Danio rerio: one gene and its partner. Each later gene encodes a partner of the first gene's protein in a complex. Links are inferred from orthologs where the notes say so. Each region holds a gene or a part of one and is shown in the gene's direction. Other genes may lie near its edges. The genes, in order: cacna1c and stac3.

The links.
Region 2: cacna1c (region 1) and stac3 share a complex: the UniProt entries of both Homo sapiens proteins name them as parts of the calcium channel complex. The link is inferred for Danio rerio from reciprocal best matches to the Homo sapiens genes CACNA1C and STAC3.

Annotation. Positions count from the first base shown.
Region 1 is NC_133179.1:20,894,855-20,911,399, forward strand, and holds the start of cacna1c (voltage-dependent L-type calcium channel subunit alpha-1C), read left to right. Parts: upstream 1-9,167; 5' UTR 9,168-9,559; coding exon 9,560-9,686; intron 9,687-10,450; exon of another isoform or gene 10,451-10,699; intron 10,700-13,170; coding exon of another isoform or gene 13,171-13,298; intron 13,299-13,561; coding exon of another isoform or gene 13,562-13,602; intron 13,603-13,763; coding exon of another isoform or gene 13,764-13,907; exon of another isoform or gene 13,908-13,935; intron 13,936-14,674; exon of another isoform or gene 14,675-14,881; intron 14,882-16,545. Other genes in the region: dcp1b (mRNA-decapping enzyme 1B), read right to left, coding at 3,689-3,769, 5,578-5,739, 5,837-6,463, 6,547-6,672, 6,779-6,902, 8,600-8,666, 13,171-13,298, 13,562-13,602 and 1 more. UniProt on the Homo sapiens protein: Pore-forming, alpha-1C subunit of the voltage-gated calcium channel that gives rise to L-type calcium currents. Mediates influx of calcium ions into the cytoplasm, and thereby triggers calcium release from the sarcoplasm.
Region 2 is NC_133184.1:262,868-278,976, forward strand, and holds stac3 (SH3 and cysteine-rich domain-containing protein 3), read left to right. Parts: upstream 1-1,792; 5' UTR 1,793-1,940; intron 1,941-4,183; exon of another isoform or gene 4,184-4,275; 5' UTR 4,276-4,319; coding exon 4,320-4,336; intron 4,337-4,415; coding exon 4,416-4,494; intron 4,495-4,959; coding exon 4,960-5,116; intron 5,117-5,299; coding exon 5,300-5,397; intron 5,398-5,478; coding exon 5,479-5,539; intron 5,540-6,765; coding exon 6,766-6,863; intron 6,864-7,242; coding exon 7,243-7,309; intron 7,310-8,084; coding exon 8,085-8,131; intron 8,132-9,530; coding exon 9,531-9,622; intron 9,623-9,997; coding exon 9,998-10,049; intron 10,050-10,810; coding exon 10,811-10,948; intron 10,949-11,704; coding exon 11,705-11,803; 3' UTR 11,804-13,403; downstream 13,404-16,109. Other genes in the region: si:ch211-166e11.5 (sterile alpha motif domain-containing protein 3), read right to left, coding at 71-124. UniProt on the Homo sapiens protein: Required for normal excitation-contraction coupling in skeletal muscle and for normal muscle contraction in response to membrane depolarization. Required for normal Ca(2+) release from the sarcplasmic reticulum, which ultimately leads to muscle contraction.

The DNA of each region.
Region 1 (16,545 bases):
TATGTAAACAGTTCATAATGTGACTGTGTGAGTGGGATAAACCATATAAATCAGCTGAACCCAACAAGCATGAAGGGTTTTAGTGTCTTTCACCCGTAACTGTAGCACGTGCACTCCTGGCAGCACTCGGCCTGTTGGCATGTTTATTTAGATTAAAAAGCTTATTTGAGATTGCTTACGAATTCATCAGCACTAATGCTTATGGTAGCTCATAAATCCACACAATCAGTTATTAACAGGAGAGATTGGAGGTTGTCTCATTGAGAGGGTTTTTAATCAATTTCAATGACTTTTGCAGTCGTTCTTAATTTCTGGATAAGGATTTCTACTTGCTTTAAGGTAATAAGCCTAGATTTAAAAGATATAATTATTACACTTATTAGTGGGGGGATACAGTAGCTCAGTGGTTAGCACTGTCGCCTAACAGCAAGAAGGTCGCTGGTTCAAGTCCCGGCTAGACCACACATTTCTGTGTGGAGTTTGCATGTTCTCCCTGTGTTTTCATGGGTTTCCCCCACAGTCCTTGCACTAGGTGAATTGATTAAACTAAATTGGTCATAGTGGGTGTGTGTGACAGAGTGTGTATGGATGTTTCCCACTACTAGGTTGCAGCTGGAAGGGTACATGTAAAACATATGCTGGATAAGTTGGCGGTTCATTCCGCTGTGGTGACCCCTGATGAATTAAGGGACTAAGCCGAAGGAAAAACAAATGAATGAATGAATTATTACATTTAATAGTGTACAAATCTTAACAACAAAACAGATTTCAATGTGGCTCAGTATAGGGCAGTCAGGCCCAAAACAGCTTTACTTTTACTTAAATATTATTATAAAGTATCATGCCCAAAATTAGAAAGATTTACAACATCTCTTTAACAACTGCCAGAAATGTTATTAATCTCTGACCTTACTAAAAAGCCAAGAGCGCTTGGGGTTACACAATCCTCATGGCATGTTACACTGCCAATCCAAAGGGTTTAAGGACTGCAGATTTCATTTGTTAAAAATGTAGTAAAATGATACTATTTAAAAACAGTATTACATTTTCTATTAAAAGCTGAATTATCAGCAGCCATTACTTCAGTCTTTGGTTTAAAATGATCTTTCAGAAAATATTATAATATTATGATTTGATAAAACAAACAAACAAAAAAAAAGTTTTTTATTATTTTTTGTCTCTTTTCTTTTAATCAAACAATTATTTGTATTGGTCATGTAAGGGTCATATATTAACTGAACTTCTAATGTTGTGGGTGAGTGCTGTGCATACTAATTAGCATTTTTGCAGAAGTAGATAGATGCGGGTCCAAAATTAAATTCAGCTCTGCAGAAACTTCCTGTCTGAAGAGAGGTGTTAAAACTGAACACAGAACACAGAAAGATGTATACTTTGTTGTTGGGCAGAGAATTCATAGAAAAAGAGGAAGTATGCCGAAGGGGCGGCCAATGGAGGACTGAACAATGACTGACAAGTGACGTTACACCAAAACTCCACCTGTTAAGATCGGTGGTGTATATATGCTGAAGTCAGGAAATATATGTTAGTTGCGAACCTCTTGAATGTAATTCTTGTATTGCATTGGGGTAATGTAACCCAGAGCTCTGTCATCGATTTATTCATTTGTATCCAATAAATTGTTACGATTTTTGACATTGAAGAAAAACCTCTCCAGACCTTTTCTCTTGAACACGCATGGAATTGGCTTGATATTCCAACAGCTGCCATTTCATATTTTTATAGAAACTGCGATTGTTTCATTTATTCATTCATTTTCCTTCGGCTTGGTCCTTTTTATTCATCAGGGGTCACTGCAGTCAAATGAACTGCCAACTTATCCAGCATATGTTTTACATAGTGGATGCCCTTCCAGCTGCAACCCAGTAAACACCCATACACACTCTCATTCACAAACAAACTATGGCAAATTTAATTTATTCAATTCACCTATAGTGCATGTTTTTGAACCGTTGGGAAAACTGGAGCACCCAGAGGAAACCCATGCCAACACGGGGAAAACGTGCAAATTCCACACAGAACTGCTAACTTATCCAACCGGGACTCAAAACAGCAACTCTCTTGCAGTAAGGCGACAGTGCTAAGAACTGAGCCACCGTGTCGCCTCTGTGATTGTTTCAATTATAGGTTTATTTGAGTCTACAGATTGTGAAATTTGAAACATTTTAGAAGTTTTAATGTCACTTTTGATCAGTTGAAGCTGTCCTTGGGAAGTACTATTACAATGTTATTAAGTCTTCATATTGTAGCAATTCTGATATATATTTTGACAAACGCAATACTGAAGACTCATGTTTCCGCACATTTCTTCAACTAATTGTTTGAATTACTGTGGGCAATACAACGTGGCATCCCTCTGCCATCTGTACACTCATTCATTCGTTCATTTTCTTTTCGGCTTAGTCCCTTTTATTAATCAGGGATCACCACAGAGGAATGAAACTCGTTCTGTACACTGTAACAGGTAAAAAGAGTCTTTGAAGTAATATCATGCATATTAATAAAGTTGCGTCTTGTTCACAATAGAGCATGCTGATTGATTTGAACCAAGTCTTTCTCATGAACTAATGAACATATGTGCTAAAACTCAATGGCGTCACTTTGTACAGGCCAGTACAGACAGGCAATCTCCACGCTGGAATTTACACAATGATCTCGTAGCTGTGACGTTGTTTCAAAATTTCTTTATAAACTGGTCGAACAAATTTGCTCTAAACAACACAAAAATAAACAATATTCACTTAGCTAGATATATAATAGTCTCCTAATAGTATTTTAGCAATGTGGGACACATACAAGACTGTGAACATCTCAGAAAATGCGCTTTGGTGTTTTGTGAGTCTTTAAAAAGGTTTTAGCCTGAAATACACGTATAATTGTGTAACTGTAGTGTGTTAAGTAATACATTGGTAATAAAAGAGAAAGAAAATACAATATGTGGGGTGTGGGATAATATTTTAATTATGTAAAACAAATAGAATAACTTTTAATTGGTTTTAATCCTGACCTGCTGACTGGAAAACACTCTTGGTCTTAATTTTAAGGTTTAAGATTTTTTAAAGGAACTTATAAACATTCCAGCATGTTGATATAAGAACAAAAATAACACCATAGAAAAATAGAATATATATATGTACACTTTTGTTTGTACATTTAAACATTTTAAAGAGTTGACTAACATGAAAACTATTCCTGCTGGCTTGTAAAATGATGAGGGTGATTTCCTGTCATTTGGTACAGACCAAGATTTACATGAATTGTCATGCCATTCATCATGTTATTCCTATTATATTTGAGGCCAAGTTCTGTTTTTGAGTTTCTTTCGGGGGTGTATTTCAGATATGCAAAAGTAAAAATGCCTTCATTAAAAGTCTTTACGCTCTGATTTGAACAGACAGCACATTTCCTGTCATTATCTAAAAAGTAAACATAAAACCCATTATGCAATTCTCCTTTGTTAAAATATTAAGATGCTTAAGATTGCAGCTCGTGAAAAAATAATGTAAAATTCAAAGGTGATGTGGCATTTATCATTCAGATTAGATTATTTTGTGGAAGTTCAACTCATTAGATGCTACACTCGAAACAGCAGGGTGGTCCTGAGATGGTATGCAGATATGTGTTCAGAGAGTGAAAGCTACATGTATATGGTTCAGGTGGTTTTCCTGCTTCAAAAAGGTTTTGAGCTGGAGTCTGTTGTGAGACGGGAGATATATGCTTCATAGATGGTGTCAAGGAATGAAGCATCATTCTGAATCACAGAGAGAAACAAACAATTAGAAATACAGCAACAAACATGAGCCAAGAATGCCCCATTGAATCAATCAATCATTTAATGTTTTACACAGTGTTTTTGTTTTCACTTTTGTAACTTATATCTTTAGAGCAGTGGTTCTTAAACTTTTTTCATCAAGTACCACCTCAGAAAAAAAAATAAAATAAAAAATTATTTAAAGGAAGATTAATTCCTATTATTAAGAATATTTATTATTGTCAGCCATTTTAAACATTAAAAATAGTTTGAACATTAACACTGTACTGTGCTTATGGGTAAATAAATAAATAATTGAATAAATAAAAGTCAATGTTTAAAATAATTAAAATGGTAGGCTACTGTTCTCAAAGTAAAAAGAAAACTGCTGTACTTAAATGTCAAGTAGTAACAAATAGTACCCTATTCATTAAAACCTGAAAATGTTGATTGGACCTCATAAACATGGGCTATATGTCATCATATTTATATATAAACCATTTTTGATAAATTTTGAAATATGTGTTGTAGTGTTGTTGTGATTATAAAAGGACTAATTATAAAGTAGAAAAGAGACAGGAGTTAAACATAATTATGAAGGTGAATTATTAATATTACTTGTATAATTAATTAGTATAAGTATCAGTTTGATACACTTAAGAAGAAATTATCGTGAACATTTTTAAATATTAAATAATAATAAGCAAATTATTAAAATACGCATAAACTAATTTGAAAAGGAGAGGGTAAAAATAGTCTAATACTTGCTTCTGTAACAGAACTTTTTCTTTCAGTCTGAAAAACACCTTTACACTTTAGCTATGAAAGCACTGATGCACTGTGTGATCTCTGTAGCACTCAGAGCAAGCAGAGCTGCAAATCATCAGCTCCATGTGGTTTGGTTTATTAATAGTTTTTTGCATATAGATGTCTGTGACAGTAGTTTTTACTGAGCTGATGGTTTATGTGCATATTTGTTGTTCCTTTAGTGTAAGTAAACATCTTTTTGCAGTATTTGCACACAGTTAGTGTTTTATTAGGCTCACTTCACTGCTTTCATTTTACGCTGCCCTGCCACCCCACCTTTTGCTCAGCTCTGATGTGCAGGTAAAGCCAGTTTCTGCCTGTAAACAGCGCCCTCTCTGTTCAAAACATGTATCGCGATTCGTTCAAAATTTTTATCGATTTGAATTGTCACAACTGATTTTCATCCGACTCACAGTAAATCATTACATCTCTATTTATCAATGAAGTCTGCACACATCCTAAAGCAAATACAATGCTTGTGGCATTTTCATCACCCAGGATCTGTAAGCACTACATCCTATAAGAACACAAATTTTATAATATAACTTAACTAGATTATATGATTCATAATATTATATAACTTGTTTATAACTTAGTATTATTGTTCATTAAATTATAACTTTGATAAAACAAATCACATAAACTTAATCTCCAGAGCTGCTGATTCATTTCATATGCATTTTTTAGTTTTAAGAACTATTGACCTATCCTGTACACTTGAAACACAATCATCTTCATAAGAACCCATTAAAAGCTTCACTCTTTTAAAACTGTTTAAATGTAAGTTTGGCTTGTTAAATTTCATCACTTGAAATATTAAAATTAGAAGGTTTTGATTACTTGATTACGATTAAGAAATTGATAACTTGAAATCAATCAATCATATCAATTAATAATAACAATACTACTATTTATAATAATAATAACAAATAATAATAATAAAATAAATGCATGATTTAGGAAAAAATGAAATAAAAATTGATTGTATCCTTAATTCTAACCTTGATGAGATGGAGCAATGTGGCCTGTAGCTGAGACTTGCTAAGTGCTCTTGATTCAACTGGTTCTGGATCTGCTCTTGTTACTTTAGTTTGAGCAAACACACTGGGGGAAAGAAGGAGGGTGGGGGCTACAGTCGCTGGGATACGCTGTGGTGACATCACCTGTACCCACACAAACACAGTAAATGACAGGTTAAACGTGCTGCTGCAAGAAACACAAAGGCAACAGATGCATAATTAATCAAACTAAAAATTTGACCTGTGTCAGATTGGTTTTGCTGAGATTGGAGCTGCTGGTGGTCAGACCTGGCTGTAGGACCTCCTGTTGAGGATGCAGCTCTTGCTCCTGCTGCACTAATGTGAGCTTCTGTAGAAGCTCATGAGGTGAAACCACATTACTTGTTACTCCAGCAGAGGGCACTTTATTTGGGACAAACAGATGCTGTGCTGGAAAGGGCCCCGAGGGCTTCGCCATGGAGTGGATTTGGGGCCCCATGCCAACTTCCCCCTGCTTTAATTGGATGGAGGGCATCACTGTAGTCCCTGCCACAGGAGGAGGGTTCATTAACAGTTTTTGTATTGGGTCAGGCTGGATCTGGACTGCTCCGTTTTCACACAGGCGGCTCTCTGGGGATTCAGATAGAGGCTGCAGCAGTGAACCAGACATGAGCTTGTGGATGGCTGGACAGTGCTGCATGGGGGTGCTGGACACCACAGCACCACCTGCTGGAGAAGGGTCATCATAAGACAGAGAGCGGGCCACTGAAGACCTTGCTGGGCCCATCCTGCCAACAGATAAGCTGGGCTGTGTTGAGCCCAAGTCTGGTTTTGGCTGAGCACCAAACAGTGTGACAACTGACAGATGTTTTGAGTCCATCTCAGCATCCTAAGAGAAAAGGATTACATTACATTACATTTAAAAAGGGCTATTTATTGAATCACAAATATGCAGAGAGAAAGAAATCGCACATGCTGAGTGTGTGCCTGAATGTGTGTGTCCTGTGCTGGTTTGAGGGGAATGGGTTTGATCAGATGGGGGGTTTGACCGTAGATGATCCCACCACTGCCAATTTCCTTTGGCTCACTGAGTTTTCCCTAAAAAGAAAAAGGGGCACAGAAACAAATTAAGATTTACAGTGCACTGATGACCTCTAGTGCATATGAAGCAACTTAATGCTTGTACAGAGAAAAGTCTCGTCACCTTGTCATAGTCGTTTCGTGCTTTAGTGAGCATCTGCATTATATCCACACCCTGCTCTGCTGATCTCGGAGAGAGACAGCCAGTAGCAATTTGCGCCTGTAACTGCTGTTCCTGCCCTGCCAAACTGACACAAGAGAAAAAGTAGGTGTACAGTACCTGACAACAAGGTTTGGAAATCAGTGAGCAATTATTGTTGAACAGTTTTATATTTAATACAGGAAACAAAAGATTTTTGTGACATTTGGCTTTATTACAGGTATTTAAAATATCCACCAAATGACCAAATTACAGATCATATTATTTAAATAATCAGTGTTTCATCGGCCGCAAAATAAACAGAAATAATTAAAATTATGTAGACAGTAAAATTTCAGAAGTGACAACAACATTGAAATACTTTTTTCAATTGTAAACATGTCATTTTTAGAAATTTAAATTTAATTTGGTTTGTTAAAATCAGTTGCCACTAGTGTTGGGGAAAGTTACTTTTAAAGTAATGCATTTCAATATCGAGTTAGTCCCCCCAAAAAGTAACAAGTTGCGTTATTTAATTACTTTTTAAGTAATGCATAACATTACTTCTGTCATTACTTTTTTTTTTGCTGGCTGTTTTTTTTAATAAAGGAGCTCTGTAATTAACAATGCACTGTTTAACCCATACATTCATTTACCTAAAACAAAAAAAATTAAATAATTTAAAATTTAAATAATTTAGCATGATGTTATTTTCTGAGAACTTCCTGACCCAAGAGCTATACATGCCGTATATACACACTTTATTGACGTTTAAAGCAATGTGTATGGTACTTTTTGTTAAATACTTTTGTTTTTTGTTTACTTTAGTTAAGTAAACAAAAATGTGTGGTTTGGTACTTTTTGTTAAATACTTTTGTTTTTTGTTTACTTTAGTTAAGTAAAATCACTGCCCATCAAGACAATTCCCTTTTTTCTTTTCTTCAATGTGTTCAAAATAATGAAAATACTTCCATCACAAAAATGTATGACAGCCATCTTCGTTTCTCTCTGTTCCTACGGGAGCACAGTCTCTCATTAATTCAATGTGACTAAGTTAATTTTAATTCAGCAATTACATTTATTAAAAGGTGATTAAATAAGTTAAAAAGTAACTTGCATTAGAAAACAGTAACTCCATTATTATTACTTAATTTTTTTAAGTAATGTATTACTTTTTTTCGTTACTTATATAATATTACGTAACTTGCGTTACTTGTAACACAGCTGTACATTTCTAAACTGTTTACAAAACATATTTAGGCAATAAAGAAGGTATAGACAACTAAATTTAGTTCCATTGTGAATGTGGCCTAAATGGAAATTATATGATAATAGAATGGACTACATGCACAGCTAGTATTTTTAGCCATTGATAAGCTACCAGTGAAAGCTTTACGTGGCTATTTTCAATTTCATTAATGTTCTTTTTACAGCATCAATGTTGTAATGTAATTCAAATACAATCAGTTAAACAGACTTAATCATTCATTTAGTTGTTCAAGTGTAAAATGAGATAAAAGCCTCCAGGAGCTTCAGGCTAGCGCAGAAACTCCATTAAAAATACTGTGGTAAAATAAAATTTCACATTTTAAAGACGTGGTGGGGTAAATGGAATTTAACGCAATGCTTCTTGTCCGGTCTGAGATCCACTTCATATTGTATATCTACCAGACTGTGAAGATCACTGATTTTGAAAGAAATCAGATCTTAAATGTGGCGAATTTGTAATGTAAAGACCTGAAATGCAAATACCCCATTAAGTGTGTGACCATGTTGTGCAAGTTTGCAGATGAAAGATACACATACTTCTTCATGAGTTCTGCTATACGCTGACAGTCCTCTTTATCATAGAACCAGATTCCATAGATGGACACTGCCAAAAAAAAATACACATACATGATAATATTAACCTCAGTCACTCATTTAATTAAAATCAATCAAGAGCAGAAGACTATAATTGTTAAGCACCGTATCAGAATTGTCAGTAGAAGAAGTCCATACATGCACTTAAACTGCCATCATACATACACACTCCACTCTAGCTGACATTCCTTTCCCAGACAGTCCAAACTCCCATGTGCCCAAGTAGAACTGGAGCCAAGTGCTCTGCCAATCCACCAAAATGTCGTTAACCACCAAAATGTAGTTGCCAGATGCTCGCATCAACATTCTGTTGCCTTTTTGAAGAACAACTGTATTGGGAACAACTAAGAGAAGTTTCAGTGACTGTGGTCTCTCATGAACTAAACTTAGAGACTGGTGCTGACAGCCGAATCAGGACCTGTTCCATTCACCTCTAGAAGAGATAACAAAATCCAAGGCAGTAAAAGAGAGGGAGAGGAAGAGAGAGAGAAAGAGGGCTGGTGCTATATTCACAACCGTTCATTCTCTGAGCGGAGAGCACCACACGGGTCAGCGCCTGGGGAAAAAACCCAAACAAAATACTGCCTGGGAACTGAGGAACACAACTCAGAGAAAGAGAGAGAGCAAGGAGAGGAGAACAAGGAGAAGAACGAAGAGAAGGATGAGAGGATTTTGGAAGCGCTTTTGAAGTTTAACTTGGCAAAATACACACACAAAAAAGAAAAGAAAAACAGAGACCTGAACCACACATTGAGTCAGACAGAGTGCAGGAGCATTTGCTGCGAGTTTTACTGAATGGAGCTGAATCCACATGAGCACTGAGGAGACTGTGAACTTGTGACCGACTTCAAATAGACCAAAGCTTCAATCTGCTGAGGATTCAAACCTCAGAAAAAAAAGGAGATGCTGCGGGGGCTGTTCAGTTGGCGCAGGCTGAAGCATGAGCGACTGGAGGAGGAAGTGGAGGTGCGGTTCAAAGGGAAGCTTGTATCGGAGAGAGAGCTGGGCTACACACATGTGCGGCCAGGAGGTAAGAGCTTTGTATACTTAACAGTCCTGCTGAAAGTCTCCAGCTATCCCGTTACAAATCACAACCACAACACTGCGTTTGTTTAAGAGATGAGTGGACAGAATCCAGCACCCTTGGCACACGAGGAGGAGCGATGGACAATGCAGGACTTCTCGCTGTGTGAAACCTAATTAGTAGTGTTTGTTATGGCCATATTGGCTCTACCAAGTATTTAGCTGTTAATCGGGTACTGAAACTGTTTGATCCAGGTCATGAAGGATTTAGGGTGGGACAATATTGGGGGGAAAAAAGTAACTATTATAAGAATTACAACTGCAATTTGACTTGAAAGTTTTATAACAAAAAATGTCAAGGCTATAAAAATATCTTAGCGACTTGTTTATGGCTGTAAAATATTTATGACATGCTTAAATGTTTTCCTTTTACTGAAGAGCCGTGGTTTACTCAAACACGCTCATACATAAATTCACAGCCTTTTGATATACTCACTAAGCCTCATTGCGATTTTGGTTTTATTTTAATTAAACATTCAGTCATTCTGCAAAGAACTCGTGAGGATTGTTGAGAACACCGGAGTATAAGCCAAAACACCTTAGCAATCGCATTGCAATGCACAAACAGCCACTAACAACATTTGACAAATGCAAATCAACTTCTTGGCTACCTCTCACAACATTCCAGCATTGGTGCAGCAAGATTGATCAGAGATAAAATCCCCTCAAGGGGAATTAAATCAGTGAAATAGTCTGCCTGTAAAATCTCACCTACATCAAAGTAGCCAGCACAAAGTTTCCCATCAGACCGTCAGCAGATGCACAGAATTTCACGGTCAAAGCTCATTATTGGACTGGCTGAAACATCAGGATCTACAATGATTTGTTCAATAAGCCTAAAGTAGTTTCTCTACTTTGAAAGCCTAAAGCTTTTCTCCATGCACTCTATTTGCAGGTCTCCTTATCATGAATTTCCTTGGAAGCCTGTGCATGTATGCGTGTTAGAGAGGGTTGTTATCTAATCAGGATTGGTTGGTCGGGTCTATGATGCTGGCAGGAAACTGAAAGAGAAACACACACTTCTCTGCACCATATAAGGCACTGTGGCTCTGGGGCCTCTCAAACAGGCCCGCCTGCCAGCGATCTCTGATCTCTCGTTCTCTCACACACACATACACTCACCAGTATGACAGCTTTTTCAATCTAGACACACTTTTACTGCAATTAAGCTCTGAAGTTTTTGGATGGATGCACTCCCTCTGCTCCCTGCCCATCTACACCTTGGTTATTAACATGTGTTTCTGTTTGACATTGATCCTCCTTAATACATGTCAAAATTCATTTATATCAGTCACATTTGAAGGTGGTCAAACTTTTGTCATTAGCACAGTCGGCTGATGTCTGTGAACACCATCTGTGTGCAGCCTGATTTTTTTTTTGTTCTTGCAGTCTAGTGCATTGAGGGGCCAGTGATTTAATGTGCTTCCACATTCACAGTCAATTAATTTTGAAAGCGTTGCTCACTAAACTGTGCATGAGATGGAGCAGAAAACTGAAAACAAAGTTTACCTGGGCCTTAAACACTCATAAATCTGAACATTAGTAAAAGACTACTTTCTCACCAGACAATCAACCTCTGAGCATTCCAAATTAAACACACATTACCCTTTGTTGTAAATGGTGATGCAAGCACGATCCCTAGACCTATTTGGAAATAAATAAATAAATAAATAAAAATGTCTGGTGATCTCATTTGAACAACCAAAAAAACTATATCACTATTTCACTGCCACTATTAGGGCAGAGCAGACGGATGCTGAGCTGCTTATCTTTTTGGAGGACGCCCAGCACATATTAAATGTGTCTTTATAGTGAACCCCCTTGTCTACCCCTACATAACACAATCATTAAGATACATTTTATTATTGACTAAAATTGTGCACAAGCAAGTTTCCTTTATATTATATAGTCTATTTAGATAATGTATAGCCTGTGGTGCAAACAAATAAGTGCGTAATATATGTTGACCCTGCACCTCATCATTTCTCTTGTTCACTTTCTCTTTCACTTATGCATTCCTTTCTAAAGCTCGTATCCGGATATAAACTAACATCATCACTGTAAGCAATAGTCACAATCTATTTTTTAGATGTCTGGATGATGTTTTTTTCTGTTTTAAAAACATTTTAGATGTGAGTCAGTCTGTTCCTGCAGGCGAAATAGAGCAAAGTGAATTTTAAATGACATCAGTGATAGCTTATTAATATGACCAAATAATAATAATTAAATCACTCTTTATCTTGCCATCTTGACTACCTCATGATAAATTTGTCTAAAGCTGCATGCGCCAGCCCAGGGAGAATGTAATTGATGGAGGAATATTAAAAAATTTCCATTGTAAGCCAAAAAAGGTTTTGTGTGCCTGCATGCAAGCAGTCCTTCTGAAAGAGTTTGTAGCATCGTCGTAAAGCTTTAACTTCAGAGAAGTGCATTTGTTTTCCTGATTAACTGATTACAAAAGATAACGAGCCTGAATGTCCTTTTGTTAAATTTAATTTGACAATAAATCAGCTAAATTCAGGTCCATTCATTTTAATTATATTTTTAATAAAATAAACACATTTACAATTCTAAGGCTGAATTTATGTCCATGCTTTTTCTTTATGCCATTAAACTTTTTTCTCGTCTTTCCCATTTGTCATTTCAAGTGTTAGCAGGTTTGGCATGCTGTCCCGAGAGAGAACCCTGAGCTCGGAGATAATTGAGCCCAGGGCTCCCTCCTGGTCAGTTAGCATGTAAGGAGGTACGAGATCAGGTAGTTCTTGAGAGCTTCTCTTGGTACAGGAGGAAAGGGGAAGATGGGGGGCATGGGGGGATTCTTCAAAAAATTAAAATGAGGGAGTAATGTTAGTCGGGCTATTTATAGTCAGTTTGATATAACGTGCTTCTCTCAAAATTAGTTTGTAAAACTTCACTTACTTTCTTAATTGGTCAATATATTATCTATAATGTCTATATTTTATTGTAACTGTATTTATAGGGCTAAATTAAATAAGTTTAGGTAACTGCATTTCTGAAATAATGTGCTTCATTAAAATATATATCGCTGACATGCTTTACCATAAACATTTGTGAAAAATGTAAAGGTAAATAAATATCATCTAGATAGAATACATTTACTTGACAATCTTATTTTTTTAACCCAATAATGCTGATTATCACCCAATAATTTAATGTCATAATCAACATTAGCCTGCTCAGGAGACATCATTGATATGTGATAATATTTTCTTATCACCCAGCCATCTCTCTCTCTCTCTCTCGCTCACATCACATATATTTTGACACACTGTATTATGTAAGGATTTCTTCATTTAAATCAACTATACATGCATACTTTGGGCTTAGCAATATTTTTGCAGTCTTTTGGTTTAGTCTAAAATATTTCACTCTGATGACTTTGAGCTCGTTCAACAAAAAGACAGACTTACAGCGAGCGTTCCTGTACAGGAGAAATGGATGCTGCAGCTGGAAATCCAAGTCCTTAGTGATTGGTTCAGTCAGGTTGTCCATACTCAAGCGATTGAGGATGGTAAAGCCATGCCTGGGGGAGGCAAGCCTGATACACAGAGAACTGACGTTAAAACTCGTAGCATGAGTGGGAAACTAAAGCTTATGAGTCTGAAGGACCTACAAAACTGCATGTGGGTGTTGTGCAGTGTAAGAGCAGACAACAGTGGTACATCTAAATGCTGAGAAATATTGTGCAGGTTATTTCTCTGACCCTTAGAGCCACATTAGATCTCTAGGGCTCTGATTTAGGGCCATACAGTACATGTGGGTGTTGCTTCACTGTTAAAAACATGTAAGAATCAAACAAACCTGCTATAGACAAACAGAGTTCCCTCCACATTTGTCTTTTCCTACAGAAAACCACAACAAAAACATACATTGATCTATTTATGTTTAAGTCGGAGAAAAATAATATTACAATTTAAAACAATAATATTATGTTTGTAGCAGTAGAAATAAATATCTCTATCCACTAAGATGTTATGTTAAGGGAGATGATCTTGTTGTTTACCCATTCATTGGTGTTGTTGTTAAAGGTGTAGAGTGCTACTTGGCTGGCTAGGTCTGTGATGCTGCTGATGTAGGGGTCGAGTCTCTTCAGAGCAGACAGACTCATTGATAAACAGCTCCCACCGCCACCTGTGCTTGCAGTCATGGCTCCAGCTCGCTTCTGTAAATAAAAACTTATGCTCTTTATTAAGATGTAATTACTCTTTATTAACATGTAATTACTGTACACCTCTATTGTATGGGTCTTTTGGTTCAGTTTGCATGTTTACCAAACAAATATAGTATTGTTTTATCTATCTATCTATCTATCTATCTATCCATCCATCCATCCATCATCTATATGTGGGTGTTGTTCAATAGTTTTGGGATAACTTTGATGAAAGGTTTTGATCCACTTCAAATGTTGTCTACTGTGTACAGAAATTAATGCGTCAGACCTTTGCAAGATTACAAAATGTAACTAAATTCGTTATTCTTAGTTATAAGCATTCATTTATATATTAATTTATACAATGAGTAAAAATGTGTGTGCATAAAAATACATTTCTTAAACTCGCATTCACTAAAATGTGGTTGACAAGCTAACCCTTACATGTAGTTACTATGGTATAACGAGTGGTTATATACTGGCCCGAGTCTAAAGAGTCCACCTCATCCTCGTCTGTATTTATTCTGGTCACTTTGACCGGTTAGGTCACCGTTGATGTTCATAGCACAAGCGCTGCGGGACATCGTACACAAGTTTAACACTGCGCTTGAGCGGTTTGTTAATATCCCTAACCCTGCATTAATAGTGTTTTTACTTTTTAAAAAATGGTATACATCATACATTCATAAGTTTACGAGTGAACTAAATAAGGCCTTGGTGAGCTGCGGTTGCTCTTTTATACATCGTACTGGAGTTAAACTTACCTCCACTTAAAATACGGCACAAATCCTAAAATACCTTTAAAAAGCAAAATTTAACTCTGTAAAAACAACACTTAAACAGCTTATTTAACGATCCGGTCTCCTTGTGTATGTTTTCAGGGATGTGCAAAGCAGTAAACAAGAATATAAGGCTTTATTTCACTTGTCTAACTCTCGTCCCGCTGCCGTCATCGCCATGTTTGCGCTGTCAAGAAGACAGAACGAGCTAATCGCCGAGCGCGCGCAAAGGGGAAAATAGTCGAGACAGAGTTACGGATGAGCCCCCAGCTGGCTCGAGCTCACCTGAGAACGCCAGCACGTTCGTTTACATCACGCTAAAGCAGTGAGCTGACGCTGCAGACTTTCTGCACCCAGGGGAACCCTTGAGGATACGAAATTCTTGCACTCCTGCACTATTGCTGCCTCGGTAAAGACGATGATTTGTAGTTTAGTTTTTGTTGCCTAATTGTTTGCGTATTCTTTCCAAAAACAAATGTTACAGTCCAGAGGCCCTGCTGCATTTGTAAAGTCCAACCGCTGTAATGTTACTGTGATTATTAAAATGGCACATTTCCCACCTGCAACTAGCCTACATAAATCTATAAATCTAAATGTACTGTTGTACCCCATTGAGCAGGGGCGGACTTGGGGCTCTAAGCAATTTCAGGTGTGGGGCCCTAGCGATGAAACTCAAAACACTCTCATTCTCTAAAGATTTTTTTTCAAAATATGTTTTAAACTCCTTTAATCTTCCTTAATCCTCTTAATGTAAAATTAAATACAATAAACTCACTCACACACAAGTTCACAAACTATACTGTATGTACAGTTTACTTGACATATTTATGATTAGTTTTTACATTTGCTGTACGGAGGAACGTTGCACTATTCATGGGGCCCCCGGTTTTAAAAAGAAGTAATGTTGTTAAAATCGTAATGGTTATAGACATTGTCATTTTTCAGGGCCCCATAATTCCCTGTAAGCGACTGCTTACTTCGCTAGTGAAGTCTGCCCCTTGAAATTGAAATAGGGGTTGCCAGTCTTTTAGATGTCATCATTATCGTCTTTAGTGGGACCTCTATCCTAAATGTAAAAGACACCTATACAGGTTTTCCCCATAAGGACCATTTTAAACCATGAAAGAAATATAAATGTATAACATATTGTTACACTGTCTCTCTATCTGTCTGTCTGTCTGTCTGTCTATATTTATTTATTTATAAATATGATTATAAATTTATTTTGTTTATTTAAAATGTTAGGCATTGTATTATTATTATTTTGTATTATCTACGTGTTGTGTTTGCTTTACTATGCATTTGTTTTTCTGTTTATATATATATATTTCCACACACGCACACAGGCTACATTTTTCTATGCTTTTTTTCTCTTTAGCATTTCCACAAAGCTCATTGCACTGCCCCATTGGCACCGGAGCCAAGATTGAAAATCCTTTCCTCTCAAGATAATTTACTCAACTGCACTTTATAAAGGTACCACTAGAGGTCATCATTACCTAAATACTCGTGTTTAATTAACTTGTTCAGCATCATTTCCAACCTATTTCTGAGAGAGCACAGCAGCCCATGCAGATTTTTTTTCTAATTCTGTTAAAGTGATCGTGATGTTATGTACACATCTATATGTTTTAGCTAATTAAACACTGCAGAAAAGTTTTAACCAACATTTAGCCTACATTAGATCTTAAACTTTTATATTGATTACACGCTCAGTTTAAACTGATCAAGATTCTAGTAGACAAGAAAAAATTATGTATATCTTCAGTTAAGCCTAGTAAATTAGTTTAGTAGTCTGTAATTAAAGCATTAGTAAAGGAATCTTGTATGTGGCTGCAGAGCAATCACTGCTTTTA
Region 2 (16,109 bases), on another chromosome or scaffold:
TTATGAAGACATTAGCAAGTATACAATAGACTTGTCGAATTAAACACTTTAAACGCTTGAAAACACAAACCTTTCTCCAGCCGAACCACAAACACGGGAGCGCGGCTCGCGCCTGTGACGTCATATCGCACGACCAAAATAAAAGTCCTGTTCACGTGTTAAATTAAAGGCTTGTAGGAAGACTATTCATTCATTCATTCATTTTCTTTTCGGCTTAGTCACTTTATTAATCTGGGGTCGCCACAGCGGAATGAACCGCCAACTTATCCAGCACATGTTTACGCAGCGGATGCCCTTCCAGCTGCAACCCAGCACTGGGAAAACTATTGTATATTGTTTACAAAGAAGGAATTCGATTGGTAACATGTTTTCATTCATTAACAGTGCTCGTTTGTGAACGATTTTGTTGATACTGTGTAATATATATATATATATATATATATATATATATATATATATATATATATATATATATATATATATATATATATATATATATATATATATAATCACATAATCATCATCATTATACATAAAAACCCAGAAAGATTTGTACACCTGAAATATATTACTGACCTATTTCTGGTATATTGTTGTTTTGATTACTCATATTGCTCTCATTTTCAGTTGCTTTGAATAAACGTGTTTGCCAAATGCTTATTGAATGTATGAATTGTATGTGGCTGTTGTGGAATAAAGCTGTAACAGCTGCCACAAGCCCCTGAACATTGGCGTAAATAAGCTTTTAATAAGCTAAATCCTATTTTCTGGCACTTGAGCCAGAGAGTCACAGTAATAGATGAGATGTGCTACTGTATGAATATGTCATTTTTGTTTTTTGAGATATGATGAAAGCTGGAAAATGAAGCTCATGTTCTCAATCTTTTGTTTAGTATATCCATTATTGTAAATTTAGCAATCAGTGTAGCAATTAGTGTCCTGGGTCTGCCCCGAGGCCTATAGGTAGGCGTTCAGGAGGCTTCTGAAACAGATGCCCGAGCCACCTCAGCTGACTTCTCTGGATGTGGAGGAGCAGCGGCTCTACTCTGAGCTCCTCCCAGGTGACAGAGCTCCTCACCCTATCCATAAGGTTCATTCCGCTGTGGCGACCTCTAAGCTGAAGGAAAATGAATGAATAAATTAATATATTTCCTGTGATTGGTCTGTACATGTTTGGAGGACCCCAAGGAACCTAACACATTTTTTTTCCCCAGGGCCAGCCCGAACACCAGCCGGTGACCCACTCACACCTGCGGCTTCTCCAGGATGGACGTCCAGCGTTCTCCAGCCTCAATTGGTCAACTGGTGAAGTTCCTCCTCTGTCGCCACTGTCCTGCTTGGTTTGGGACTTGTGGAGATGCACATGGATGGATTTGCTCTTCAGTGTTTGGACTCTCAGCAGTGAAGATTCAACCACACTGAACTGAACTGAGCTCTGAACACTGGACTGACACGGCTTCAGTTCACTAGAACTTCTGTGTTCAGCTGCTGCCACACAATCTACACTGTAGAAGAGCTGGAGTTTTATTCACTTGGCTAGAAAGTGCTTCTTCATTAATGAATTAATTAAATATATTTATTACTGTGTGACATTAGAGAAGTCATAATGTTTAGTAAAAAGGTGCTGTTCAGCTGCAGGCCTGCTGTGAGTGTGTGAAGGTCTGCATGTGTGCCTGTCTGTCAGAGGGACAGATATACAGAGAGACTCGTATTACTCTCCGTCATCTAACACCTGCTGAAAACACTCACAGTGACACACACACACACACACACACACACACACACACACACAAAGTGTTCAATCCTCAGTTCAGAGCAGTCTGGTTATTACTGAGTTAAGATTATCTTCTGTGCTGAAGCAAATATTAACTTATCTGTATCAGGGTCACACCTCACTGACTGAAAACTGGGATTATAGCACAGAAACACATCATCTACAGGTGTGTATGCTTGAACTTGCTTGTTCTGATGGCATGATTTAGTGGTTGTGTGCATTTAAATCTTTTCTATGTATAGTCTAGAAAACGTTTCTGATTTGTTCCTGTAGCTCAGTTTAGTGAGAGATCCTGAATTTGTTGGCCTCAAAAAAAGTTTCCAACTCAGATATAGAAGTTGTGTGTGTGGATTTGAGGATTTCATCATGCTCTCATGTGTACAAATTAACTGTGAAACCTTTTTGTGTTCATTTATTCCATAATAAACAGGTGTATGTAGGGTGTGACATGATCATTGCACTGCATTCGCCACCCTGAAATTACTTTATTTTCAATAAGAGAACCAGAAATCTGTCTCAACACGGAGTGGACATCCTCAGATTCCCAATTTCGCACTGCAAGGTCAACATTAGAAACACCCAGTGGTGGAAAGAGTACAGTAAAATCATGCTTAAGTACAAGCACATACTTGCCTAAAACTGTAGTGCAGTAGAGTAAAAGTGTCTGCTGTAAATATTACTCAGTATAGCTTTCAAACGTACTCAAGAGTAGGGAGTATTACACTGTGAAAAGCTGATGCGTTTACATGTAACTTGCACATGTGTGTGTGTAAACGTAAGATTCTGTAGTGCATCTAGTGATTGCCCAGCAGGTACACAATGTCATAAGACGTTAATATTAGGTTAGATTTAAGTTGTGATGTCGGGAAACCAAAATTCAGTTTCTAACCAGTGCAAATCAAATGACGTTGATATTTGGTTGATTTTAGGTTTTTAGAAAGTGACCAAAATCTAATGTCGCGCCAACACCTTAAACCAACATCACATTGACGTCACATACTGATATTATTTCATCAGGTATGGCAACCGAAATCCAACATCTGATAGACGTCATAGTGGTAACGTCCACACAACGTCAAGCTGTAACATCATTAGACGTTGATTTTAGGTTGATTTCAGGTTTAACGTTAGACATTGACGTTGGCCTGACATTGAGTTCTGACGTCAAACTGATTTTCACTTCCAAACAAAATGCACTGTCTCCAAGATGTTAGTGTACAAGGTCAATCTGACGTCATGTTGACGTCTTGTGCCTGCTGGCTGTTTAAGGCCATTTGGCTCATCATATAGTAAACATTTGCCATCTTCTCATCAGTGATGTGCATCTAAACAGTCTCTGGGTCAGTGAGTGTGAAGATTGTGGACATCTTCTTTTATGCACTTTAAATGCTTCTAAACAGTTTGCTGCAATTATAAATCATCTTGAGGTAGTTCATTATGAGGTGACTTACCTTCAGTGTGTGATTTGATCAGACAGGAACCACAGGACTGATCTCTCTAATCTCCATAGACAAGAAAAAATACAGTAGTGACTGCAGGATGAAGGAAATTAGTGGAGTAAAAGTACAGATACTGCAGTAAACGTACTCAAGGGAAAGTAAAAGCCCACATTTATAAAACTGCTCTCTAAATTACAATTCCTGAGAAAACTACTTTGTTACAGTAAATTGAGTATTTGTAATTAGTTACTTTACACCACTGGAAACACCTAATCACAGCGGCTAATATGTCAGTGATCATAGCACTTTACAAACATGTGTTTACAAGTCAGAATCTAATAATTATGATGATTTGTCAAGAGAGATATGAATACTCAGACCACTTCAGGAGGTGTTCTGATGTGCATGAGAGATGTGCTCTCGTTTAAAACCACATATTATGCGCACATGACGATCCACATTTCTTACAGGATGCTCCACTGACCTGTGGGGTTCCCCAGGGCTCTATTTTGGCCCCGTTGTTATTTTCCATTTGCATGCTCCCTCTCTGATCTATTTTGAGAAAATGTGGGCATCGTTGCAGGAATTACACACCGGTTTACTTCCCAGCACACAATTTAGTTTTTAATAGACGTTTAATAGACATCTAAGCATAAACAGCTTGGCTAAAACAAGACTAAACTTGGGCTGTCAGTGAAAATCTAATAGACATCTAAGAATAGCCCAAAACTAGACTATAGTCGTCAAGTGGACAGATTAGACAGACTCTATATGTGTAGTCCTTCATTTCTGTTTATTTGATGGCTAGTCTAGTTTTAACCTATGGACGTCTATTAGATGTTCAGCCCAAGTTTATCCTTGTTTGAGCTGAGATGACATTGTTTGGACGTCTATCAGACATCTATTAGACATCTTTTAAAAACAAAAAATGCTTGCTGGGTTGCTAGTGGTTAATGTAAACGCTTTTCAGAATCAGACAGATATCTGATCAGAGTAAACGCATGAAGAGAGCAGGTGTACACAAGCTGGAGTTTTCTTGAAGCTGGTGAGTGTCTCCTGCAGGTGCGGATTTCTGCTGACTGACTGCGTCTGAAGAGGCTGGACTGATGGCTCAATATGACCAGTGAGTGTTTGACAGATTAAACAGTCTTTCAGGAGCATTATATAAGATTACAGCTATCCTAATGCTCAATGTGTTCCAGACTGGAGGATAAAGACTCGCTGGACATCCACGATAACCCTCCAGCGCCAGAGAATGTGGTGAAAGAGGACGACAACACTGTACGTATGATCACCTTCTCTTATTAGCTCTCATTCAACACACATTTGTAAATACAGGAGTGAATTATTTGTGTAGCACAAAGCTTCCTGAAAACCCTATTCACAAACACTTGTCAGAACTGAGATATATTTAAATATGAACTGTTGTTTAACTTATTAAACTAAATTAATTAATAAATAAAGGGTGTGTGCTCCCTCATTCATAATCTGCATAAACCCACCTATGCCGGAAATCAAAATGCTCTGCCATCACTTTTGATTTGATTAAATATTAGTCATTTTTAAGCCTTGTTAAATTGAACTTTAGCTACTGTTTTTGCATTCACTAACATTAACTAATGGACTATTATTGAGTAGTGTTTTCAACGTTAGTTCTGCTGGGGCTTCATAAATGAGACCTGCAGTGTGTACGGTGAGCACACAGCCGACTCGGTCATCCTCTCAGGTGTATTTTCTCATCCTCAGGTGTATTTTGTGTATGATGAAGAGGTGGAGGAAGAAGAAGCTCCTCCGCCACCCACCCCGGAGCCCATAGTCCAGGTCAACGACAAACCACACAAATTCAAGGACCACTACTGCAAGAAACCCAAGTTCTGTGACGTCTGCGCACGGATGATTGTTCGTAAGTTCACATTGATAGCAAGTTACAATAACAGCACACATATTGTCTCAACCCTTTGCCTCATATGTTTGCATTGTTAAGGTAAACTGTTCTTGCCAAAATGAATGATCAGATACACACATAAGTTGCAGAAGAAACTCTACGATATGAAACGTATGCGCTGTGTGGTGTCTCTACTTTCAGTCAATAATAAGTTTGCGCTGCGCTGTAAAAACTGCAAGACCAACATCCACCACTCCTGCCAGTCATACGTGCAGTTCCAGAGATGCTTCGGCAAAATAGTGAGATGAAAAAAATATTTAATATACATGATTAACCCAGACGCTCAGCTTGAGTTTGATTAATCTCCCTCTCTCCATCAGCCTCCTGGGTTCAGACGGGCGTACAGCTCTCCTCTCTATGACCAGGAGATCAATAACCCGGGTGAGTCACATGTGTTAATAATCAGAGGTCATTTCTGATTTACATTACCATTTAGTCATTTAGCAGAAGCTTTTATCCAAAGCGACTTACAAATGAGGACAAGGAAGCAATTTACACAACTATAAGAGCAACAATGAAGAAATGCTGTAGGCGAGTTTCAGGAGTGTAAAGTGTAAGAAGCAAAGCATTAGTAATTTATTTCTTTTGTGTAATCCAGTTAGTGGTGGAGCCAGAGAGGCAATTGCAGATTAGGAAGTGAAGTGGAAAATAAACAGTTGAGTTTTTAGTCGTTTCTTGAAGACAGCGAGTGACTCTGCCGTTCTGATGCAGTTAGGGAGTTCATTCCACCAACTGGGCAGATTGAGCGCGAGAGTTCGGGAAAGTGATTTCTTCCCTCTTTGGGATGGAACCACGAGGCGACGTTCATTCACAGAACGCAAGTTTCTGGAGGACACATACATCTGCAGAAGTGAGAGCAGATAAGGAGCAAAGCCAGGAGTCGCTTTGTAGGCAAACATCAGAGCTTTGAATTTGATGCGAGCAGCAACTGGCAGCCAGTGCAAACGGATGAGCAGCGGAGTGACATGTGCTCTTTTAGCTTCATTAAAGACCACTCGTGCTGCTGCGTTCTGAAGCAGCTGAAGAGGCTTAATTTACATTAAAACAACTCTTGATGATGATGATAAGGGATGAAGCTGTGTTTAAAACACATTCAATATGCTGATAATTGTTGAAATGTGTACTAAACAACGAGAGATGAAGCTCTCTGCTCATGTAGTCTGTTATTTTAAAGCTTTAGCTTTCGGACTATAGATAGATGCAAAAGTTATAGATGCTCCCTCAAATAGTCCACTATTTAGGAGAGTATAGGGGTTAATTTTGAACACAGCTGTTGATTAGCTTGTTCTAGTGTGTTTGATGCAATAGTATCTGAATGCAGCCTTTATGATGCAAGCTGTGATTATATCACTCAGCGATGCAATGTCAGACACAGTGCACTCAATGGAGTGAGTGACATCACTGTGACGGGTAGGGTAAGGGGTGGGGTTTGGTGAGAGCATTAAAAAGCATTGGATGCAGCCCAGATTGCATCTGCGACAGCTCTGCATCCAGACATCCTCGATTGATGAGGGTTGGACTAAACTCTGCAGGATTAAGGCCCTTCAGGAACAAAGTTCTCCATCTCTGAACTGAACACTAACCTACAGAAGCATGTCTGTGCACAGGTCAGCAGAACCGCACAGATCCGGTGTTCGACACGCTGAGAGTCGGAGTGATCATGGCCAATAAAGAGAGGAAGAAAGGCTCAGAGGACAAGAAGAACGTAAGTGACCACAGGATATCAGGATGTTACTTATGTACCTGGCAGGTCTACTGGAGGATTGGGCAAGCAGGAGCCGATGGTAGTGCATCAGGAGAAGTATGAAGATGAACTGAGTGAAGATGCTGAGAGAGAGCAGCTCCTTCACAATTCATCTTCATAAACACCACGGTATACTTCCAATAAAGTGCTTGTTTTCTTTGTTTGTAGGCAAAAAGAAGCTTAATAAGACTGAGTGAAGTAAACTGTTTCTGTAAAAGAAGTGAGACTTTAGGACCAGACAAGACCTGCAGCACAGAGACTGTTGTAGATGTGTCTGAGCTCTCGCTGTTACCTATTATGAATGAATGAATGTATGTGTGTGTGTGTGTGTCTCCTGAAGATGATGATGATGATGATGGAGGAGGAGGAAGCTCAACAGCCCAAAGAGGATGAAGAGGGCGCTGAGGGTAAGCATATCTGCACCGTGTGGTTTTGGGTTGATTTCGACCTTTATTCTGACATGTGCGTCTTCCTTCAGTCTCTCTGAGGTTTTGTGGTGCTGTGTTCATGTGGTGTACAGAGGGGTATGGAGGAGGCAATTAGCCTCTCCTGATGAGGAGAGGCTACCTGATGAGCCTCTTCTAGTGTGTGAGCATTTAAGGTGCACAAGTAACGCGCTCTGCGCTGGACTTTAGACCTGCTTTTAGATGATCTATTGCACAGTCCATTTTAGTTTCTTAGAATAGCAGTGCTCCAACAATGCGCCTTAACACACCTCCTTTTCAGACCAGAAAAACCCATGCGTCCACAAAGTGGTGCAAATGGATTTATTATTTAAACAACATGGCACAAATTATGAAAATTACTGTTGCATTGGTCTGAAAATAGCAACACATTGCGGCATACCCGTCTTCTGCCTTATTGCACCAGGTGTATGATAAGGCCATAAAACTTGGTCATGTTTTGAGACTGCTTGGATAAAACACAGTCCATTATAAAATGATCTTTGTTTGCAGTGTGGTTATCACAAATGATGTAAAGCATGTTAATGAGCATGTTTTCTTTGAATTCTAGTGATGTCTTGAACTTTAACTACCTTCAAACATGAGCTTGGCCTGCTAATTTAGTTGTTTTATTAACGAGAAAAACATTTTGAAGGGAGGTTGCATCCACACTGGCTTTATGTATGAATTACCTACAGAATTAAGTGCTGAATGGGCATACTGTATACTTCATTGATAGGGAAGCAAGATGGAGACAAGAAAGACAAAACCGCAACAGATGACAAGGTAAAAGACTGCTGTGCTGTGCTGTGTGTGTCAGAAAAGAAAAATAATCCTCTTTTTAAGATTGGACTGGCATGTCAACATTAGGAAGCCTTTTCCTAGCTTCATGAGCCTTGACTCCAGAATCTTACTGGTATTGCCTAAAAGCTTCAAGTGTGCCTGCACTGACATGAAATTCTGTTCTTACTTAAGAGTCTGTGTCCTGTTTTTAGTCCATTATCTAAAAACTCTTAAATCAAGAAGCATTTATAGACAAGCAAAACAATAGTGTTGTTTTCAGAAATAATGAGTCAAAATGAAGAGAGTTTTTCATTCAAACAAGCAGAATAATCTTATTTTAAGCAGAATGAGATTGTTTTGGTTCCCCATTGACACATTCTTTAGCTTGTTTTAAGGAAAAACTTGCCTAATTTTGACATATTATTTCCAAAAAAAAGACATTTGAGAAAATGCTTCTTGATTTAGGAATTTCTTTATATTTGCACAAGAAAAAAGACACAAAGGGGTTTTGCAGTGTACTAATGCCAATTCAGTTTCTACTAATATTTAATTTTACTTTCACTATTAATATTTTTAAGAGGTTTTTCACCTTTATTATGACAGGACAGTAGGGAAGTCAGACAGGAAAGCACCGGGAGCAGAGAATGGCAAAGAATCTGCAAATGACCTTGAGCCGGGAATCGAACTCGGGTCACTGTGAGCACGTTGGTGTTATATGTCAGTGCACAATACCACTAGGCTACTGGCGCAGACCACTTCCACTATTAAAAAGCTAATTAAAAGTATAATGTTGTGTGTCGACGCCAGTAGCCTAGTGGTTAGTATGTTGACACAAAGCACCAATGTGCTCACGGTGATCTGAGTTCGATTCCCGACTCAAGATCCTTCCCCATGTCTGCTCCCCACACTTTCCTGTCTGTAAAATCTCAACTGTACTATCCCAATAATGATGAAAACCCCTAAATATCGTTATATAAAAAAGGTTTAATGCTGTGTAAAAGGTGTTGAATACTATTTTTTTGTTATTTACTGTTTGTTGTATTTTTGTGGGTCAAACATTCACTCATTAAATGCTGCTTGTTCAAACTACTGATTTAAAATGAGTTGAAACAGCACAATATTCAGCAGTTTTTGAGACACGTAATTGATTTATGATTTATGATTTATATTTTATCTACTTGAAGTTGTAAAAACTGAGCTGGGACCACTTGAAGAAATTGTGTGGAACCCAGTCTTTTATCCAGTGTTTGATGGTTGTGAGTGCACTTGTTTTGCATTTAATGACGGTGGGCATTGCTTTAACAGGCAGAGATGCTTCAGCGTACTCATGATGGAGTCTGAATCTGCCTCTGCTCCTGATCCTCCTTTAAACTCTCTAACAGACTGTATTTGATGATTGCAGAACAAGAAGCAGCAGCAGACCTTCAGTCAGTCGCATTATTATATGGCTCTGTATCGCTTTAAAGCCATCGAGAAAGATGATCTGGACTTCCAGTGAGTCTCATACAGCACATTCACATATTTAATATCAGTCAGAGTCATGAGCCGTGTTGACATGCACATATTCTCATGTAAACGGTGGAAGATGGAATTTAAAATGCTTAATGAAACACCAAGATGCAAATGAATTGTGGAAATGCTCAAAAACTGATGCGCTTTTATCTCATATGAAAATAGCAAACTTTTTCTGTCTGATTTTTGCTCCTGTTCATCAGCCTGTGGTGATTCTGCTCTCTTTGACTCATTGATGGAAACACTGCTTTACTCATAAATGTTATATGAAATATTCCTGATTTACACAAGTCTAATGCACATCTTTTGTGTGTGTGTGTGTGTGTGTGTGTGTGTGTGTGCACGTGTGCGTTTCAGTCCAGGAGATCGTATAACTGTTTTGGATGACTCTAATGAGGAGTGGTGGAGGGTGAGGTTTTTAATCTATTTATTTGTTTTATTATTATATTAATCTTGACGGCTGTACTTTCCTGTTCTTTTTGGGAATTTCTCCAACATTTTTGTGATCTATTCATGTTAAATACTGCCTTGTTATATTTATCTAGGTTCATTTATTACCTCCCCAAAAAAGTTACAGGCTGCATTTTTAAGTAGTAATATGTAGGAAATATAACGCTGTAATGTTAGATATTAGCATTTTGAAATGATGAGAGGAGAACTGGTGTTGGAGAACATAAGTTAATATAAGTTAATTAGGGTAACTAGGCAGGTTAGGGTAATTATGCAAGTTATTGTATAATGAAGTTTTTTTCTGTAGACTATCGAGAAAATTATCGCTGAAGGAGCTAATAATACTGACTTTAAATGGTGTTTAAAATATTAAAAACTGCTTTTATTCTAGCCGAAATAAAACAAATAAGACTTTCTCCAGAAGAACAAATATTATCAGACATACTGTGAACATTTCCTCAATCTGTTCAACATCATTTGGGAAATATTTAAAAAAAGGGGGGCGAATAATTTGGACTTCAACTATATATATATATATATATTCACATAAATTCACATATATCATATCAAATTCACATATATCACATATATGATATTGCATATCCATATATATCATATTTTTTATATAGTACATTCTATATTTAAATATATTTTCTGTAGCCTTCTGTAAGACACTGTATATGGAAAAAATGATTTTATCAGTTTTCTGTTGTGTTAAAGGGCAAGATTGGTGAGAAGACGGGTTATTTACCCATGACCTACATCATCCGGGTTCGAGCTGGCGAGCGGGTTTATAAAGTGACCCGATCATTTGTGGGAAACCGAGAGATGGGCCAGATCACCCTGAAGAAAGACCAGGTCAGTCTGAGCTGATGGAGATCTATAGCTGTGCCTCCATCCAGATATTTCTATGTGCAGTTTGGATTATCACATAAAAAATGCATGACGTAGACGCCAAGATGCGCATACAGATGGAAAAAGTGCATGAAAACTGATGTTCACATCATGACTGGTATAAACGTCTCATTCAATAAGAAAAGAAGTGTGCATAAACTACAATGGACACTATTTCACCAGATAATCCCAGCCATCAATATTTATGTGTACACTTGTATAGCACTAGCTAACTCCATTAGTGTCTGTGGGAAATCCTGAGAGAAGTTTTACTTAAAGGCAAACAGAGAGTTTCGACAGACACCATGAAATAATAAATGTTTCCCCACTGCTATTGTTAAACCTTTTGATTTTAAAGTTAATATACTTTTACTCTGTGTAAATATTATTGGACAGCAAACTTAAGCAAACTAATCAATTTAAATTAAATTAAGTTAATATTTCTACACCTGTTTATAAGGGCTAATTCACCCAGACATGAAAATCATGTTATCATTTACTCTCCTTCAACATGTCTCTCTGTCTTTCTTTCTTTCTTTCTTTCTTTCTTTCTTTCTTTCTTTCTTTCTTTCTTTCTTTCTTTCTTTCTTTTTTTCTTTTTTCTGATGAACACAAAAGTAGATTGAAAAAAGCTGGAAACCACTGACTTCTATAGTATGTGTTTTACTGATTGGTATGTGAGCAGTCGTCAGTGTGTTTGACTGTGTGCTGGTTCTGCAGATCGTGGTGAAGAAAGGAGAGGAGGTGAACGGATATTTGAAGGTCAGCACTGGCCGTAAACTGGGCTTCTTCCCTGCGGATCTGCTGCATGAGCTCTGATGATCAGCAGAGAAGGATGAAGAGAGATGGAGCATGCACACAGCGGCTGCGTTACACTCCACTTTTACACACACACTCACAAACATCCCTTCACTTGTTCCCTCAGCGAAATCCCTGCCGCTATTATGAAGTACATACCTGTTCATCAAGTGAACGAGTGAAGATTTAGATGTTGACCCTAGCTTTTGTCAGATTTTTCAAGTCTGGTTCATATGTCCAATATATGTCCTAGAATGCGATGTGATTGTGACGTCTCAACAGTGTAGTGCTCAAGTGCTCAAGGGCTTAGGGCACTCCATTTAAACCCATTCAGATGCTCCGCCAGTAGTGGACACATATGTAACCTCATTAATGCTGTACATCCAAGGGAACGAGATGAAGGGAAGTTAGTGAGTCAAGAACATAAAATATTGTACTGGAACGCAGCCCCGGTGTCATTTCAACACACAATACACTCTTCCAAATAAATGTGCCATGAAGAGCCAAATCAGGGCTTCACAGTCATCATTAAACAGACATAACTAGAGTAAGCTTTGATTTGACATGCCGTCCCATCTGACACTGTGAAAAGTCTATTTTAGTTTTTATTTCTGTTGAGGCTGAACAACAGCATAAACTACTATCACAATGATGACCACAGGTGCTGATTATGTGCTGTATTCAGTGTTAAATGCTCCTAATGTCAGTTTAAACACCAGTTTACATGACATTTATTGCTGTACTACTGAAAGCAGCAGCAGATCGTTCAGATCTTCAATACAATAACCAGCAGACACTGTGAGAATGAACATCAGGACTGAGACTCAAAACAACATCATCAGTCTCTCAGTAGACTATTACTGATGTTCAAGAGCTTTAATATGCATCGACTAGACTAAAAGCCGTGATCATTATCGGGGGTGCGGTGGCGGGTGTTTAAATAGATTGCTGGTTGCTGCGTTTGGTACAGAGAGGGTGAAGGATGGGGGAATGTCTTTAATAGAGATTGTCATTTCTAATTTAACATAACTGTTTGATTGATTGTTTTATTTTTGAGCTACAAAAAAGCTAACTGAAATGAAATGTTAAGTGTTGTTGATTAATCAGATTTTTGTCACTCACTGGACAGAGGAAACTGCAGAAGACATCAGTGAGTTAATCAAGGCTGGTGCAGCTGCACTAGTGTATCCAGCATTGAACTCTGTTGGGTTATAAATGAAGTTGTTCATGTTTTTATTGTAATAAGTTCATTATAAAATATTCTAATATATTATGCATTCATTCATCTGATAAAATTTATTTGTAAATATTATTAAGTTAGGAAATTTAATTGAACTTTAATGTAACACAGCTTTGTTTATTTATCTTCAGCCCACAGCCCTTAATCAACTTTGGTTTTTGACTCTTCATGAGTGAACGTTTGGAGTACCCCTGTCATAGAGGAAGCTTTTAAGATTCCCCAAAGCCTGTTAAAGTGAACAAGTTCTTTAAAAAAGCTCTTAGATAGTGTAAAGAACATTTTTCCCAATCTAAAGTTTTTGTCCCACTTTTTTGTAGAATGAAACACTTTCATGAATGTCTTCTGGACCTATTGATGTCAATAAATAAGCTTTATATTTAAGACTCAAGGCACAATAATAACAATAACATCTTTCAGTGGACACTGCTGTTTTATTAGGATCTGTATCACCGGCCTTTATTCACACTGAATGTTAGGTATTTCAGTGCTAGTTGTTTCAGAATGTCTGTGGTGACTTGTGCCGACATTATTCTCCTGAATCCTCCAAAGTGATGGTCTGATGGTGTTTGTTGTGTCATCGGCCGCTCTGAGGCGCAGATCATTTATCAAAAAAATAAAAATAAAAAAAGAGCAGTGCATGAAACTTCAGAGCTCATTTGGAGCAGTTCTCATGCTGACATTACTCTCTTATCACACATGATGGTTCAGAAACATGCACGTCTCGAGAGCTCTTAATGTGTGAATCAGGCATGTTTGATTAGGCCAGTGGTTCTCAATTTTGGTCCTTCTCAGAACTTACTGGAGGCTTTCACTGGTTTCTACCCCCCTACAAACCCTGATTGAATCTAATTTTGATATTAAAAGTGGCAAAACATTAAAAGAGCTTAAATAATTTCACTCTGAAAGAACAGACTTGCTCAATTCAACATTTTAGTGGATAAAACTCATGGTTTCAAAACTCAGGAGAAAACAACGCTGCATCTCTTTTGAGTGTCATCCTTATGTATGCTTTTGTAGCCAACTAAAACTTCACCAATTATAATAAATAACTTTCTCCTCAAACGACTGAAGTGCAGATTTGAGCATATGTAGAGCAGTTCTGGACACTGCTGCCTGCGTTCTGCCTGCTCTGATCAGTGTCAGCTGCTCCTCATTAATCAGTCAGCAGAGGAGAAGGCGTCAAGCTGAAGACACAAACCCCAAACAGAACACTGATCTGTCAAATTGTTCATCTGTTAGCTTTTTAAAAACAGTAATTAACAATTACCAAATCGTGTTCATATAAAGTGTGTTTGGTGTGAGTCTGTGTTTCTGTAAACATCATTTGACATTGTGTGCGTCTCAATCAGCACTCCTGTTCTATACTCTGCCCTTAATGAACTCCCATCTGACTTTTTTTTTTTTTTTTTTTTTTGGTAACTGATGGTTTAACTGCTTTATAACAGAGCTCATTTTCTCTTTGTCTACCTGAAATGTATTTATTTACTTTTGGTATTGTGTGACAATACAGATTGAGTGATTATAACAGTAAGCAATAAAGTATTGTATATTATTAATCTCTTCCACAATCCCCTCATGCATATCTACTAAATAAATATACACTAGTACTTCTATAGTATTTAATTTCGAATTTTGATATGAAGTTAGTTTTGAAAGTGAAAGATGTTCAGTTTCCCCATGCATCCACTAGAGGTCAGTGAACATCAACACAACAGCACTTGTGCTTTAGTCATCAGAACTCAGCTGTTCTTACTGTATAACAACAAACTGTACAAACAATTCCAATAAAAGACTGAACATCCTAATTTGCTATATAACTGTGTAAGCTGATGTGTGGCAGAAACACATCACTTACAACAAATAGAAGTTTCGAAAAGAAAGTAAAGCATGCATTTTCTGTACATTTGTATAATATAAGTAGTTAAGTATGTGTAATGCACAATCATATTAGACTGGCAATGAAAGCTAATGAATTTCTGGGAATTATTTAGTTGATTTTGCGTAACAGAAACTCTGTGTTTCAGTAAGACTTTATTTTAAGCTCTCCATTTCATTTAATGTACTTACGTAATTAAAATTAACTATGCATAATTTACATGAAACTATCCCTCAACCTTACCCTAAGCACACAGTAAGTCCATGTAATCAATTAACTTATACTATTCAGTAATAATTAGTAATAATTTAATTACTTCCACAGTTACAAAAGCATCTTAAAGGACACATTCTGCTTTCAGGGAAACGCTTTTAATCATTTCATTAAGCTTGGATAAGGCTGTATCAGCACTGGTGGGAGGCGTGTGTTGGTGTCTCACCAGTGACAATATGCTGCGAGTCTGATATTGCATTCAACGGCATAACCATGTTTATAAAAGAAAAAAAACTTAAGAGGAACTACTTTCTTCCGCCATTCATTCACATCTGCAGCTGACATTACTGTAGAGCTATTGAATGATTCTCTAGCGTAATGTCTAACGTGAAGGCTAAACAGCTTTTGCTCACACTTTAAGATTATAAGGCTGAACAACATGAAATGCCATCAGTCTATCCCAGTATTTCTCTGTTGTAATTAGGATTTTGCAATATTTAACCCCAAAAACACTAGCAGATTGTGTGGTATAAATACAGCACTACAACATACAAAACAGAGAGATCGACTCAGAGTGTCACTTACCAGATTTATAATGACTTCTTCAGATCTAGTTTGAAACTTATGTTGAGAAAATGCTGCTTTTCTCCCCTGATTATGCGGTCTCTGTCACCATCTTGTGGTGAAACGGCAACCCTCACTGTCCTTGGTCTGCTCAGACAGGCTGATGGCAGCCGATGCACTGAATCTAATGCTCCGAAATTATACATATTTAAAATTGGCACTGTCCTAAATAAACTGCATAGCTGCAATTTAAACAACTACATTCTCACCTAAAGAGCCTCAAAAGTCCATTATGTTGTCAAACAGCGGCAGTATTAGTCAAACTGTAGAGTGTCCTCTGCTTGTTGCTGTATGTGGGCGGAGTAATGCACAAAGGGTGAAGATGAGTGCTGTTATTTGCAGGATATTGCACGGCTATCAGCCAATCAGATTCA